2 linked regions of the Oreochromis niloticus genome follow. The protein of the gene in region 1 interacts with the protein of each later gene in a biochemical or structural test. Links are inferred from orthologs where the notes say so. Each region holds a gene or a part of one and is shown on either strand. Other genes may lie near its edges.

Evidence for each region. The genes of interacting proteins can lie anywhere in the genome.
Region 2: the proteins of parp2 (region 1) and hpf1 form a complex in vitro, tested with the Homo sapiens proteins (2 studies listed by BioGRID). The link is inferred for Oreochromis niloticus from reciprocal best matches to the Homo sapiens genes PARP2 and HPF1.

Annotation. Positions count from the first base shown.
Region 1 is NC_031982.2:26,108,050-26,115,804, reverse strand, and holds the start of parp2 (poly [ADP-ribose] polymerase 2), read left to right. Parts: upstream 1-4,745; 5' UTR 4,746-5,044; coding exon 5,045-5,117; exon of another isoform or gene 5,118-5,118; intron 5,119-5,195; exon of another isoform or gene 5,196-5,248; intron 5,249-5,348; exon of another isoform or gene 5,349-5,392; intron 5,393-6,167; coding exon 6,168-6,377; intron 6,378-6,695; coding exon 6,696-6,872; intron 6,873-7,051; coding exon 7,052-7,122; intron 7,123-7,629; coding exon 7,630-7,680; intron 7,681-7,755. Other genes in the region: mettl17 (methyltransferase-like protein 17, mitochondrial), read right to left, coding at 1,153-1,245, 1,347-1,397, 1,478-1,546, 1,649-1,756, 2,023-2,093, 2,209-2,303, 2,386-2,459, 2,608-2,689 and 4 more. UniProt on the Homo sapiens protein: Poly-ADP-ribosyltransferase that mediates poly-ADP-ribosylation of proteins and plays a key role in DNA repair.
Region 2 is NC_031971.2:22,761,086-22,769,046, reverse strand, and holds the start of hpf1 (histone PARylation factor 1), read left to right. Parts: upstream 1-4,960; 5' UTR 4,961-5,062; coding exon 5,063-5,101; intron 5,102-5,949; coding exon 5,950-6,133; intron 6,134-7,072; coding exon 7,073-7,259; intron 7,260-7,473; coding exon 7,474-7,572; intron 7,573-7,961. Other genes in the region: pde5aa (cGMP-specific 3',5'-cyclic phosphodiesterase), read left to right, coding at 467-595, 1,641-1,735, 1,904-1,991, 2,165-2,265, 2,373-2,450, 2,550-2,613, 2,716-2,790, 3,456-3,539 and 1 more. UniProt on the Homo sapiens protein: Cofactor for serine ADP-ribosylation that confers serine specificity on PARP1 and PARP2 and plays a key role in DNA damage response.

The DNA.
Region 1 (7,755 bases):
CTGCACCGGGGCTGTGATCGACCGTGGCTGCTGGGGCCCTGTGGGTCCTCTGAGCCTGGCTGGGGGGCTTCTTTGCCTCCCTCCTGCTGTGTGCCCAGCCTGGAGGCTGCAGTCTGTGACCGGCTCCCGGTGCAGACAGCTCCCTGTGATAGTGTTTCCTCACTTGGCTAATGCATACCCAGCCCAATTTTACTCTTTAGGTGTGTGTGTGTGTGTGTGTGTGTGGGGGGGGGGGGGGGGGGGGGGGGGGGGGAATGTGTGTATCATGACCGCTTCTGTTAATGACAGTGCGGGGAATGAGTGGGAGGGTGGGGTGGGCTGCTTTTAACCATGTAAAGCACTTTGTGCTACAGTTTGTTTTGTATGAAAAGTGCTTTATAAATAAAGATTGATTGATTGATTGATTATTTGGTCTGTTGCTTGGTTTGCAGGACCAGCATTCTAAGAAGAAAAGCCTCAGAACTTCCTCTCCTCCCGTCACCCTTCCAGCTCATCCGAGGTGTTCCCAAAGCAGCTGAGGCATAATCTTGTGGGTCTGTCCCAGAGATTCTCTAAGTAGAATATGCTCAAAATGCCTCACCAAGGAGGTGTCCAGGTCATATCCTCGTCAGATCCTCAAAAAACCTCAGCTGGCTCCTTTCGAGTTGCGGATCTACTCTGAAGCCCTCAGAAAGGACTCCCAAATGACAACAGATAGCCACCCTGTGGAGGTAGTTCATTTCTACTGCTTCTATCTGTGATCTTTTTGTCACTACTCAGAGCTTGTGACCATAACTGTATACCCACCACTGCTTGCCATCTCTCTCTGAGGGCAACTCTAGACTGAGAGTCCAGCCCCTCTCCAGGAGACCTGTTGCAGAGCACCAGCTGTGCGTTGAGGTGAGTCTGACTATATTAGCCGGTACTACTCAAGCACTAATTCACCAGTGTTGTCTTAGCTGACTTAAAGGGAGGGTGGCTAAAAAGTCAAAACAGTCTGTTTTAGACAGGTGGTGAGCTGAGCCACTAGAAACATAAATAACGATAATTTAAAATTCATGCAATGCTGCTCCGGTGGAGTCCAAGAATAAAAAGAAAGAGACCTGGGAATTAACAGAATAGATCGCATTTAAAGTGAAAAGCTGTAAACAGACATAGACAGTTAAGTCTTACCCTGGGTAGAGACAGAGGTTGGTACTGCTGCTGGAAGTTGCAGGGTGTGACGAGTTCATGGGCCAATTTGGGACACACCAGTTCATGAGAACACTGAAATAAATGAATAAATAAATAAAGAGAAGTGCAATAAAACTGATACACTGATGGCTCTAAGTATGACTTTAATTAAATCTACTGGGTGTTAAACTTACTGGAGCAAACACTGATGCTGGCCTGGAGTCATAAATGGTCTTCTCTTGTTTCTGGAGTCAGAAAACCAACACTTTAGTCTGATCAATAACAACTGGTGTGAACTGCTGTCTTATCTAGTGTGTTTAAATACCTTCAATAAAGTATCTCTGGCTTCCATGAGTATCTGATGGCCCTCTTTGGTCCCATTTTCCACCAGCACCTAGAACATAAAATGCAACGAGTAATAGTTTTTTTTCTGTTTCCTTTTAAACGCCAGAGGCTCACCAATCATTTTTTAAGTTGCATCTTTATTTGATCTCACCAGATATGAGCTTGTCTTTCTCCAAAGAGTGAATGCTGCCTCCTCTCGGTCCTTCACATTCGGCAGCTCTGAGAGGGTAAAAGCTGCAGTGACTAAATCAAACTGCACCTGAAAGGAGAAAAAGGACAGTCAGGATTTCCAGTTGTTGAGATTATCTGGAACATTAATGACAGCAAATCAAAAATATTGGGATTTTCTTTATTTTTTGATTTTCTCTGTTTGTGTTCTTTTCTAGAACAATGACTAAAAAATCCATGTATAACCCAGAATTGAAGTCTAGAATATTGCATATACATTTTTAATAACACACTGAATTTTTTAAACTCTTGACAGTGAACACATTGTGACTTAAATAAAAGCTGAGGGAGTTTTACCTTAGGAGACACAGGGAGAAACTGTCTGAAATACACTTGTTTGATGCAGGGTTCAGCTCTTTCGTCATCACCTGCTCAATTCAAATAATAATAATAATAATAATAATGATACAATCCAGTCAGTTCCTATTAACATCTGTATTTCACATAAGGAAACAAAAATAAATTCTCTACATGTGTGTCTACCTTTCAGAAGTCGTTCTGCCAAAATGTTCATTGGTCCTGAGCTGTCCACACACACCATCTCCTTCAAAGAGTCACCCCAGCATGCGTGAGATGCCCTGAGTAAACGGCCAGATTATAAACTTAGTTTAGCTATTCAGACTATAGCATTTACATGTTTAACTAGTGTTGCACACTAACCAGACAACTGTTCCTAACCCAGAACCAAAATCCAGGAGAGTGTGAGGAGCAAAGGAGGGATCCCTCTTCTTTATCTAAATGATGAGGGGAAAAAAAGAAAGAACTGCAGGTATAAGTGAGTTTAACCACAAAAAACAACTTGTGCTTGGATTCATGCAACTCTTAAAAAGGAAGCTCCCTGTATCACCACGTAAGCCGATCGCCTCCACAGCACTTTGCTACCTCATTCAGAGCTCTCCTCACTGCAGCGTAACCGCCAGCAAGTCGAGCTGCCATGTAGACCACGCCGAGCTCTTCATCATACCTGAAACACAGTGAGATGCTTGTAAATCTACTGCACGTCAAACTTAAAGACCAAAACTACAACTTCAGGAGTGATCATGGTGGAGCGCATCCATTCACTGGGTTTATCTAAAGAAAGCATCTTAAGTCTGTTAAAAGTATAAAATGTTCAGCATTTGTCATAAATCGCAGTGTTAGCTTCTCCTATTATGGGTAAAAGAGGCTTTTTCTCCTTTAGGAATGAGTAAATATAACAAAGAGGCATTCAGAACAGACTGAAACATGAAAAACTGATAATGGATAACACTGTAGTTAAATGACATGTTACTTCATGGGTGCCCAGTGATATGTCGTTCTTCGGAGCTCTGAGAGAACTTTCCTCCTGATGCGGTCTTCCATTGCTTGCTCGTCAATATCTGCAGAATAAATGTATATTTATTTTTTCTAGCTGCTGCATGATATTATCTTGTTGCATGTGTATTATTACTTAAAAAAAAAAAACATTTATCACCCACCTCCTCCCTTTTGCATGGCTTTCTCCCACAGTTCTTTCTCCAGGCTCACAGCTTTCTGCCTCAGAGTTAAATCCTCGACCGCTCGTTTCCTGCTCCACAGGAAGTTTGTGAGCTTGCGAATGTGCTCAGGAAGCTGATTCACCTGAGCTCCTACAGATGCAGAGATGGATGAGAGGCAAAGGGTTTCAACCAATGAAGCTGGTCAGAAACATCTGTTATATTAACTGATTCACCAACACTAAGCTTACTGTGAATAATCGACTGTGCAGCCACGTGGAGTTCCTCAGGTAGCCGTAGAGTTTTCAAGTTGGTCACACCTGGGTGTTTTCTGTGTGGTTCACCCTTTAGGAAATCTGCCTGTGGCTGCGGGTGTGTAGCTGCACTCTTTGCCTGAAATAACAGGTTTAAATGATGCTGTTTTACTGACCTTTGAATTAAACTGAAATATGATTATATGAGGAAAATAAAAAACAGGAAATCCAATTACAGACAGATTTGAGAAAAAACAAACAAACAAAGAAACCAAACAAAATCTGTGTTTCATTTTTTCAAAAGAATCAGTGGCCACTACATTAGGCACATGTACTGTTTGAGTGCTTGTTAACGTAGGTATTTCATCAGCTAATCACATAGCAGCGACTTAATGCATTTAGGCATGCAGACATGGACAAGAAGACCTATGGAAATTCAAACCAAGCATCAAAATTTGGATGAAAAGTTACGTGATGTGGTTGTTTGTGTAACAATATACTCGTATATTGTTACTGACCATGTCCACCTACTTATGATCACAGTATTCTGAAGGCAAAAGGAGGTCCAATCCAGTGCTAGCAAGGTGTAAATAATGAAGTGGCGAGTAAGTGCGTTTTTAGTTTATTTAATGAAATGTTTGAGTCCAAGGTAACTGGGAACCAGACAGCAGCCTTACTGGGTCCAGTTATAATGTCAGAAAGACAGAGCCAAGAGATTTTTTTATGCTGAGCTGATAATAAACTCAGAAAATTCCCCTCAGTGTTGCCCTCAGTTCAAAGTATTCAGAGATGTGTTTGGGCAGTGTTTGAATGAACGTAGAAATCATGTTTTACACCAGTGAGAGCTGGCAGCCCTGACATCTGGGGGACAAGTGGAGTAGATTCACGACTAAATGGTGTATATTATGCCAAAAGGATAAAATGTAAATGTACAGACTGAAACTATTTTGTTCTCTATAGCTTATGTGTCTGACCTCTGTGATTAAAAAGCTGCATTCAGTGGCAATAACAATCCGTACTCACCCGGCACACCAGCATCCCCAAAAGTGTTCTCTGGCAGAGAACACAGGCGCTAAATCTACGCAGTACCATAACATCTGCTTCTACAAACGTTTAAATGGCTTAAAATTCAACTTTCATCCAGCCCTCCTTAAGTGTCACGTTAGAATCCCACTAATCCTTCAACAAAATAATTCCGACCACTACCTAAGGCGGAACACTTTCGACCGTAATCTCTGTTCCCACCTCAGGAGAACAACGAAGAGTGTTACTCCGCCTACTGTCCAGCATCTACGACATCAAGTTTACCTCTCGGCCACAGCATAGACAAAGTTGGGACTAAATTAAAACAGATATAAACCTAAATGTATTTTAAACATTGAACTGGGTTTAATATAAATCGTTGTCATATTAACCGCCTTCGCGCCGGAAACAACAATGGTTTCAGTTTTCACGGCGGAGTGATTCATCTTCACATGAAACAATCGTTTGCAGTACGGTTGCCGGTCAGGAAACAGTAGTACGGTGGGGAAAAGTTTCCCGCCGTGTTTTAGTGTTATCGCTGAGGTTCCCCTTTAACAGCAGCCAGATAATTATTTTTAATAACCCACCATGAGGCGAGCGAGAAGTTCGCGAAATAAATGTGAGAGTGCACCAGAAAATGGAGAAGCCCAGTCAAAAACAGGTCTGTGTGTTTTATTAGCATAATATTGTAGCTGCTGCAGGGTAACTACGCCATTGAACTGTGGACATGTTCGGACAGGAGACAGCATGAAGATCAATATTATGAAGCTTCACTCATAATTCAGACACCGGTACTGTCTGTGTGAAATAATAATAAAAAATTGTCAACTTAAAAAACAAACAAAACATTTTTTGTTGCTCGGTTTGCTTTTCAGGTAAGGGTTAGGGTTCCTAAAATAAGTTCCTAAGTGAGCGGTTAAAACGACCAAAAAAAAGGTATTTATTTGTTGTGAGCTACATTTATTGCATACCAAAAGCGAAGGGGCCTGTTCTGATGTGACCTGCTTTCTGTCTAATATATACTGCTAACATGCTGGAATGTTTATGTTAAATATGACCACTTTAATTTTAAAATAATGATGCCAATGTGTGTAGAAATGATTATGCTTTAAATTACTGTAAACATTTAGCTTTTGACATTTTCCCTCAAATTTTTGTTCCAGATGATGTCAGTGAGAGGGTTAACCCAAACATGATCATGCTACTTTTCAAACCTTCTGTTTGCCTAGAGCAGCCAATCAGAACAAACTTGGAATAAAGGGAGTTTGCACTGAAATGAAGGCGAGAAAAAACAGTTTGTTCTGATGTATTTGTTGAACTAAGGGGAGAATTCGAGTGTAATGAGCTCCCTTTAAAAGTAAGGCTGATTTTTTTGCAGCCACTCTTTATATTGCTTCTGTTAAAATTAACCTAAAATGTTTGACAGCTATCTGCACCTTCCAGGGAAAAAAAAGAAGCATGTATTGGTTTTATTTTTCTCTTTACTATTTTGCAGTTTATCCAGACTTCAGAAAGCTTCATTTTTTAAACAACAGCAGCATTAATGCTTTTTTATTTTAATATGATTGGTATTTGTCAGGGGACTAAAAATTAAGGAAGTTTAAAACAGGTATTACACACACAGAGTTTTAATAACTTAAAGACTTGTTTCTAATCTCTAAAAGGCCAGTGTGTAAGAGTTAGATTTTCTTCTGTGTGTGTTTCTGATCAGTGTGGCAGTGGATGGGAGATAAAAGACAGTGGGAACCATACTCTCCATCAGCCTGTGCCGTCTTGGACTCGGCCGTCTCTTCGGGAAAAACATCTGTCACTCTCTCTCTGGGCTCGGGGACAGCCTATGAAGTTGATCTGAAGAAGATGGTTCAGATCAATCCTGTCACAAAGTACAAACGGAAAATTCGCTGTCAGACTGTAAAAACAGGTGTGCGAATTATGTATTACACCACATATGTCTGCTGTTGTCTCCTACAGCATCACTTTGTTTTAGTTTTTTTGTTGTGAATTTTCTGTCATCCTCCCTGCTCCCTGTGTTCTGTTTTCATAATTCCTCATTTTTAAATTGTGTTGCTTGATATTTTCTTAACTGCAGTTCTGTTCATTTTTCATTTTTTTTGTAGAAATTGTATCTAAAACATAATTTCATGAAATTTATATAGTTTATTTCAGTTTAAATTTAATTGAAAAATCTGAATTCCTGGAGGTACTCACAGTCTTTCCTCTTTTCTCCTGTTTTATTAAGAAAGTCAGAATGAAGCTGGTGACGTTGCTGCTCATAATGAGAAACCAGCTCAAGTTAAAGAGGAAGAGGAGGACACAGAAGAGCAGCCTGCAGCTAAGAAGAGGAGAGGACAAAGCAAGAGCCAGACAAAAACTGAAGAAATGCCCAAAAAAGCCAAAGAAGAAGTAAAAAGTGAAGGTAACATGGATCTAATTTCTATATATACTTACAAAATTTTGGAGCCATGACAATATTGGTCATTATCAAAGCACAGTAACTTTTAAAGCTTTTAAGGATCAGGTGAGCATGGAATTGCATCTGAACTGTAGATGTTTCTTCCCCTCACTACTCTTTCGTGTCTGATCTGCTCTGAACAGAAGTTGTGAAGACAGTGGTCATGAAGGGAAAAGCACCAGTAGACTCTGAATGTAAAGCCAAACTAGGAAAGGTACAGTGTCTGCATCCACACGATATATAAATCTCACGATTCATGTCAGTCATGCTCGTGGTTTGACACCTGGCTGCTAGAAGGCAAAGCTTTCCCCCAGTTACACTTCCTCTTGTGACAAACTATTCTGTGTCTGGTTAAACACAAATAAATCTTTCAGCGAAGCTAAAATTTTCTAAATGGTTGTTTTCAACTGAATAACTTATATATGATTGCATTTTTCCACATACTAAACAGATAACCAATAAATCTGAGAAGTATTGTTGCAATTACAAGATAATTAAATTCATCTCACCTAATTATCAGTAGATTTACATATGACTGTTACATGAAAATATAAGAAGTAGTAATTGGTTCTGTTTCAATTATTTTTTAACATCATCTCAAATCTGTTCTTTTTAAACACAAAAAAGTAAATATTTTATACAAAAATATTTATATTTCCTGAATGCAGAGATGTTGGGATTATTTTGATTTGTATAGCTCATTTTTATATTTCTGTTTCAGGCTCATGTTTATAATGAAGGAAATGATGTTTACGACGTGATGCTAAACCAGGTAACACAATTAAGAGGAAATAAATTATGCTCAGTTCCATCTTTATAGTTTTTTTTAGGGTTGTGTGCCTTAGAT
Region 2 (7,961 bases), on another chromosome or scaffold:
GTTCCATTTTAAAAGTTGGGGTGAAGAGATTTTGGTAAGAAGAAAGTCTTCTCTGTCAAAATCTGCAAACTGCATCTGCAAATTATCTGTGAATTTCTTGGTAAAATCCTGTTGTGTAGCTACTGATGTTAAGGATTGTGAAACCCTGGGGTTCTGTGGTGGTTCAAGCTTGTTTCACTGGCATCGGTCTTTTTTTCATTTCATTAACTCCACCTTATCTAAGGCACCAAAACAGGAATCACGTTGGTGGAAAAAGGACCTGTGAGAGAGGAGAATATGAGGTCATAATGGATATTTTAGTGTTATCTTATTAGCTCTTACATTTGACAATATGTAGTTTAGTATGTTTCTTTGAGTTACAGGAATTTCACTACTGACAAACTAGAAAAGCATAATAGAATCAGATAATACCTTAAATATTCTCAATTTCTATTATTTATCAACTTTACGTATCTCATCCTTCCAGAGTCTTTGCCAGTGGGTTTTGACTGTGAAACGTGGCTACAGGAACAACGTGCCCTACCACAACTGGCACCATGCAGTGAGCACTGCTCAAAGCATGTTTGCAATGCTCATGGCAACAGACCAACTCCAGGTTAGTGTTAGTTTGTGGTAAAAGCAGAGTGGGTTTGTAGTTGCTATTATTATAACATTTCATGCATTTTGTTGACAATCCATTCTATATGTCCATGTGACAGTCACACTGTGACATTTGCATAACGCCTCCGGAGTTTCCTCTGTACTGTAGCTCAAAAGTTTTGGGAGGAGTCAGTTGAGGATTGCCAGGGTTGTTCTTCCGTACTGAGCGCTCTTAACTGTTTGGAAGAGGATTAATTTTAGATCTTGCCAAAACCTCTTAACTGCTGTCTGTAACAATCAGACACATACCTACACCTCAACTCAAGTGACTTCTGCCATTCACTCACCAGTGTTTTAAGCTTTTTGGAGATCCAGGATGCTTTTTGGAGATCCACCCTGGGGGTCTCTGTACCAGGACCAGGCTGTATCTGTTATGCATATTTGTATCTGTTATAGTTTGGAGCTTAATTATGTGGGATATTCAATGAAGACACTGACTGGTATTAGTAACACTAAAATGGAAGTATCATTTGTCGTACTTCATTTCTTTTACATCAAACATTGAATAGTAGAATTACAGTTACACATTTTTTATTCAGTATTTGTTCAGATAGAAAATGACACTACCATCTAACATTTTACCGTCTTATCACTTTATTCTTTTAGATTAGAGATTATTTAAATACAAGTAAAGTACAAAAAAAAAATTAAAAATGATTTAGAGATTTTGCATCATCACCTATCCATAAATTCCTGCTTCCTGTTTTTTACCCTTACATATACTCATGTGTAGGGATCCATAGACTTCAGCTCCAATTGGGATTGGTCCTTTATCATCCTATCTGTTAGAAACTTTTATTATCGACTTTTGACAGCACATGATCCACCTATTGATACAAACTTTCTTTTATTTTGTGTAGCACATGAAATGTGCAATATATACATGTGCATATGATTATTTTCTCAATTATTATTTTTTTCCTATAAAGCATTCAATTATAAAATGCAGAAAAATAATTTTCTTCATTATTGCAACCTGTTTCTTTCTGTTCATATTTCAGACCATTTTTTCTCGCCTGGAGATCTTAGCATTGATGATAGCCACTCTGAATCATGATGTCGATCACAGAGGAGTTAATAATTCCTTCATAGAAAGGTAAACGTTAGTTCTTAATCTCTCACATTTACTCCATTACTTATTTTTACTCTAAATTATCTAGACCATAATTATGTGTATTTATTTTGATTTGTACTATCTGTAAGACTTATTAGTCTCTGCCTACATATATTCAAGTCCTTATTCTTTCTTTCTTTTTTCTCTCAGGACTCATCAGCCTTTAGCTCAGTTGTATGGACACTCCTCTCTTGAGAACCACCACTACAACCTGTGTGTCTTCATCCTAAACAACACTGTAAGATGCAAGAAATCTTTTCTTTTCAACTTATAAGTTATATTTGCATGCACACATATCTATTATTTTGCAATGATTCCACTTGTGAAATAATTAGATTATTTTGATCTCTGTGTGTGAACTTGTAGTCTTCAGTTTACTTTACTTTCTTTCTGTCTCTCATCATCTTCCAGGGGAGTCAAATTCTTAGCGGTCTGTCTGCTGAAGAGCACAAAGCTCTATTACACATAATCAAAAGGGCAATCCTTGCCACAGACCTGACCGTCTACATGGAGTACGTCTGAAACATTAAAAATGTCAAAGAAGATGTAGGTTACACATTTAGCCAGTCTTATTTTAACCCATGTTTCTTCTGGCTGTTTTTATTTTATTTTTTTTCAGAAGAAGAAAGGAGTTCTTTTCTCTCGCTAACAAAAGCGGAGTGAGCTGGAAAAGTGAGAAACAAAGAGACTTGCTCAGGTGAGAATCACATAAATTAGAATCAGAGGCATATTATATTGTTGTGCTCGGTAAACCAAGAGAATGTGCTGTGTTGTAAGCTATTACTTTACCCCACAGGTCAATGCTGATGACAGCCAGTGACCTCTCTGCTATCACAAAGCCTTGGCCTGAACAAAAAAGAGTAGGTCTCACAAAGTAGCTCTGAATGAAAAATAAAACACTTCATGCTTCATCTCTCAATCCTTTTTCACTGCAACCTTAACCTCACTCTTCCTCCTAACAGATTGCCAGACTGGTTGCCATGGAGTTCTTTGCACAGGGGGACAAAGAGAGGGAAGAGTTCAAAATCAAACCCATTGTAAGTGGAGCTTGCAGGATTTGTAGTGTACCAAGGATTCTGAAAATGTTGAGTGGAAATAAAAAAGTGTGCACACATAAAAAGGAATTTAAATCAATATTTTTTCATGATTGGATTCTAACAAGAATCCAATCATTTGTGAATATCTTGTTTTAGTCTTATGATACATTTTTTTAAGTTTAAAAGCCCTTCAGGCATCCTGTTGTCCTATTTCTTGTTGCGCTAGAATTGCATCTACCCTGTCGTATAACAGTATCACGGTGCCAAAGACTGTTCTTTGAAAAAATACATAACCACAAACACTGGTATGTCTTGGAATATCTTCATATTTTTGTCATTGTGGTTTAAAAGATTTTCTTATTTTATTTACACAGATTCAAAAATGGGTTTTCATAAAATGTTACTGTTACTCTGTCTACACTATAACAAAAATAACAATATCTTTGAATACATAAAGCTTTATAAAGCCTGTTGTGTATTTCTGATGCATTTTTCCCCATTCAGAGTTAAGTAAATTTAATGTAGCTTGCAGTGTTTTGGGTTGAATTAATCTACATATATAAATGTTCATATTCAAGTACTGCATACTTTTGCAATTCTATCTGATCTTCTGTAAGTGCTTTAAGTGCTATTCTAACAGCCACTTTATGCTTACTTTTCACAAGGACATAATGAACAGAGAAAACAGCACTCGACTGCCGTATATGCAAGTTGAATACATTGATGAGGTCTGCTATCCACTCTACAAGGTGTGTTATTACTACTGGTATTGTGTAAGCAATGTGTAGATAACTGTATATTCTACTTGCATGCATGTATCCTTATATATTTCATCACAGAATTCACCTTGTTGCCATCTTGTTCCCTTAAGATCAGTTGTAATTTCCACTATTCTATCAACAATCCCGTCTCTGTCTTTGCCGTCCTCAGACTGTATCGAGGCTGTTTGACTCCTGCTCTCCTTTGCTAAATGGGTGTAAGAAGAACAGAGAAAACTGGCTGCAACTTGCTGATGAACAAGAAAAAGAAAACAATGAAAACATTAGTACAGACTCATCACTGCATGAAGACTTTAAGAGAGAGACACAGACAGACCAATGAACAGCGGACTGGAGAGAAGATGAAGACACGTGGCTTCAGAGGCTAAAAGGAGGCTTGCCCGTATGCTTCTTGTTCATTCTTCTAACTGAAGACTGACCTATTGCTCACACATCAGAACTTTGATGAGCAAACTCGTTAATATGTTATGCAGTGGCCCTCACGGTTATGATTATTCCTGCACTTGTACTGCAAATAACTTATTGTGCCACATATATAATAGTAAATTAAATGCATTTACTGTATGTAAAAAGGTACTAAATAGCTTCTCAAAGTACTTTACACTAAAAGCTACATTCACATTTATATTCTCTCTGTATGGAGTGTTTAGTTAGGGGATGAACTGCTCTGCCTTTGCATTGATCCTACATTAATCTGTTTATTTAGCAGTGAAGCTGTGAAAGTCTGAGAAATTACTTTGATTATTTGCACACCATATCTGTATTTGTATTTTTATCTGTGCTACACTCAGTTTGAGAAGACCTGTATTGCTGTACTGCTTCCTTTCCACATACCATCAAATTAGTACAGTGATCTATAGCACAATCAATTTTGTGAACTTGTATTCAACTATTTATTTTATTAGATTACTGACATCTACATATTTTTTTTGATCTGATTTGACTTTGTTTCCATAATGGCTCTTTGGAGCACTTTGACCCTGTGCTAATTCTATTAATTGTTCCCCTTTATTGGCTCTGACTTACAAGGTCTTGAAATTTAGCAGAACTGATAACAACTAATGTTATTTCCACCATCTGAAACTGAGCAATAAAGATATTGTTCACCACACATATACAGCATGCGTTTTAAATAATTATCCAGCCTAAAATGTTCAAAGTATTGTTACAAACCTTTTATATGATTTGCATAACCTTGGTAATAGTAAGTAGTTATTTAGCTGAACTGTAGAGGCAAAAGGGGCAGATGCGTGTATAGTAAGCCAATTTATTATTATTATTATTATTATTGTTATTATTATTATTATTATCATCATCGTTATTATTATTATTAGCGTTGTTGTTGTTGTTGTTACCTGGATTATTTAGGGGAAGGGACGTTTGCATTCCAGGCCTGTGGGTGGCACTGGTGCTCTTAAACAGGGCGCTGTTGCTGCCGACGGCTCGACGCTGACTGGCAGAAGAAGACTTCAACGGAGAAAAAGAGGAATAAAATGACAGGGCGCGCAAAAAGAAAACCCAAAGCCGTTCAGGTAAATACGCTTTGTTTTGACCTGCTGTGTTTGGTGCAGGAATATGCGTTTAAAACAGCAGCCTTACCAAACGAGACGCCGTGCTCTGTGTGCAGCAGAGCAGCTGCCGTTAAAGTCGGTGTGAAGAAGTGTTTAGCAGCCTGACCGAGCAGCAGTGGATAACACGACAACATGGCAGCAGCTCTGCAGGCTGGTCCCACAAAGCAGCTTGTTCAGCGATGCTAACAGCACATACATGAATGGGGTCTTTGGCTTTGATTAAATGGAAAGCACTACCATAACTGGACCTTTATGCTAGCTAGGAAATATCCGTACGTCGTTCCCATTCACTGTTTGTGTAGTGTGGCGTCAGCAAGCGCACTGTGGGTGTCATCATTGATTGATTCATTGATTGGTGCCTTTATCCAATAAACACCAATAAATGGCCCCATAAAATCGTTTTGCCAAGGTTGCGAGCAACTATTGGAAAAGATTACGATCCCTACTCTTACTGTACACGCCTCTGCAGGATACAGAGTCCAAGGCAGTGGGCACAGCTGTACGTATTGTACACTAGTTGCTGATGCGAGGTAGATGCATTAATTCTCACGCAGTAAATATTGACCTACTTCTGTGGAGAGCATGATGCTCAGTGATTATTATAGAAGTGTTTTGATTAACCTTTATGGATATTTGGGGGGGGGCGCTTCTTTTTATAATAATATAGTGGTTGGTTCAATGTATCCACAATATGTTTTACTGTCAACCTGCTGTATCAAAATGACATATTTGGAGCTTGATATAATACATAAATAGGCAACTTACTATGCAGTATTGCTGAGGAGTTCCCCTGCTTTTCATGTCTTTAGGGAAAAGGCACAAATAATGGAGAGGTGAAGAAAGCCCGAAGTGAAGAATCCAATGATGTGCCGCCATCGGGAGTGAAATCGGAGCAACGTGATGAGCTGATGCAGTTGTACAGTTTTCAAATGCCAGAAGATCTGTACCACTTCTGGGAATTCTGCAGCGATCTTTGCACTGACAACCCCCGTGGTATGATCTCAGTACTAGACTTCATAGGGTGGAGCCGCTGAATTTAATGCTGCTTAGTATTTCAGTCTAATAGAACATTAAAGACGAGATCATTCAAAGCAAAAACAATTCCACGTGACAGTCGGTGGTTAAGGGCTTCAAAATGAACAGATCTCCTATTAAATATAGTTAAACATGAAATTCAGAAACTGTTTTTTAGCTATTAGATGCTCAACCGTTGTAATGAACTTAGGGGCTGTAATACAGGTGTGAAAAAGATGGCACAGTAGAAGACAGAAACATCACATCTGTAAATGACACCAAAGTACTGTACGGTGCTTTAAAGGCCAGTGTAACAGCTAGCTAAAAGATTTAGTTCACAAACACAAAATTAGCAGCATTTGGTTAACACTTGGGTATTAACTGTAAACCCACATTTGGTGTGGGGCTCAAAACCTGACTTCATGCAAGTTTAATTTGTAATGAGTCTATATCTTCCAGTTCTGTTTCTATTTCTGTAGATGTTCTTGAAGGTGCTGCGGTGAGTGGTGGTGTACACACTGCAGTAGAGTACAGCAGCTGACAGTCAATGATCATTTCATCTATAAAATGTCAAATATACTGAACACCTGAACAATTTTGTCTTTGATTTTTTTTATGTTATTTTTAAATCCAGCCCTAAAACAGTGGATGATTTGTTTCCACTGAGTGTTATTTTGTTCTCAGATTTAAGTTTATTTCATTCATCAAGATTTTTATTTTTATTGTTTTTGGGGGTTTTTTGAGCAGTGCAGATGATTCATTTTATCATTAAGTGAAAAATCTCCATCTCAGATACTTATGTGGTGTGTAAGATATGTAAATATGATATGTAAATAAAATATTTTATCAATAATTTGCACTTAAGTAATGCTTCTGTGTCAGCTCGTTTCTGTATCAAGATATTGTCACTCTCTATAGGTGCTCTGAAAGACTCGCTGGGATTGCAACTGGTTGGACCATTTGATATTTTGGCAGGAGCTCACAAAAACTCCAAGAATTCCCAGCCGAAGTTCCACCTTCACTGGCGATATTTTTATGACCCACCAGAGTTTCAGACCATACTCACAGGGAGTGAGGACAGCCAGCATCACATTGGTTACTACAGGTATAGAACACAACAACTGAAGTGTGTGACTATTGGCTTTTATTAGAATCTTGTAGCTTCCACCAGAGGCTGCTTCCAACATTTGCTCTACCAAGAAGACAGAGGGCGTTGTGTGAAATAATATGAAAATAGTGATAACAATATGTACATGAGCATAAGTGGTTCTGATTTTCTTGTTGTTGTTTTGTTTTACTGAATTTCATTGTTCCGCCAGAGATACTCCAGACTCCCTCCCTTCGTTCGTTGGGGAAAATGAAGCCAAGAAGGGCTGTACTATAACACAGATGGGGGACAACGTGTTTGCTGCAGTCTAGTGAGTGTTAACCACCACAAACTCCCCATATATCACTTTATATAATCCAATTTCCAGCTTAAACAAATTCTTGGCACAAAAACAGAAAAGTTCTTGTGCATTAGTGACCACTGATAGTGCTAAATTTTATTTCCCACATCACATTTCACAATAAACTGTTTTGTTTTTGTTTTTTAAATGTAGTTTTTAGGTATGTACTGTTTAACAGGTTCTAAAAGTGATCTAAAGGGGGAAAAATGCTGGAAAAGCAACAAGGTCACAGCCTCCAAAGCATGAGAAATGAAAACTGTTTTTTATGTTCAGGAAAATCAGGAAGAGCTTAGTATCAGCTATATTGGAAGGTAGATCTGGGCGATATGGATTTTAAAAAAAATTACAAATTTTTTTTC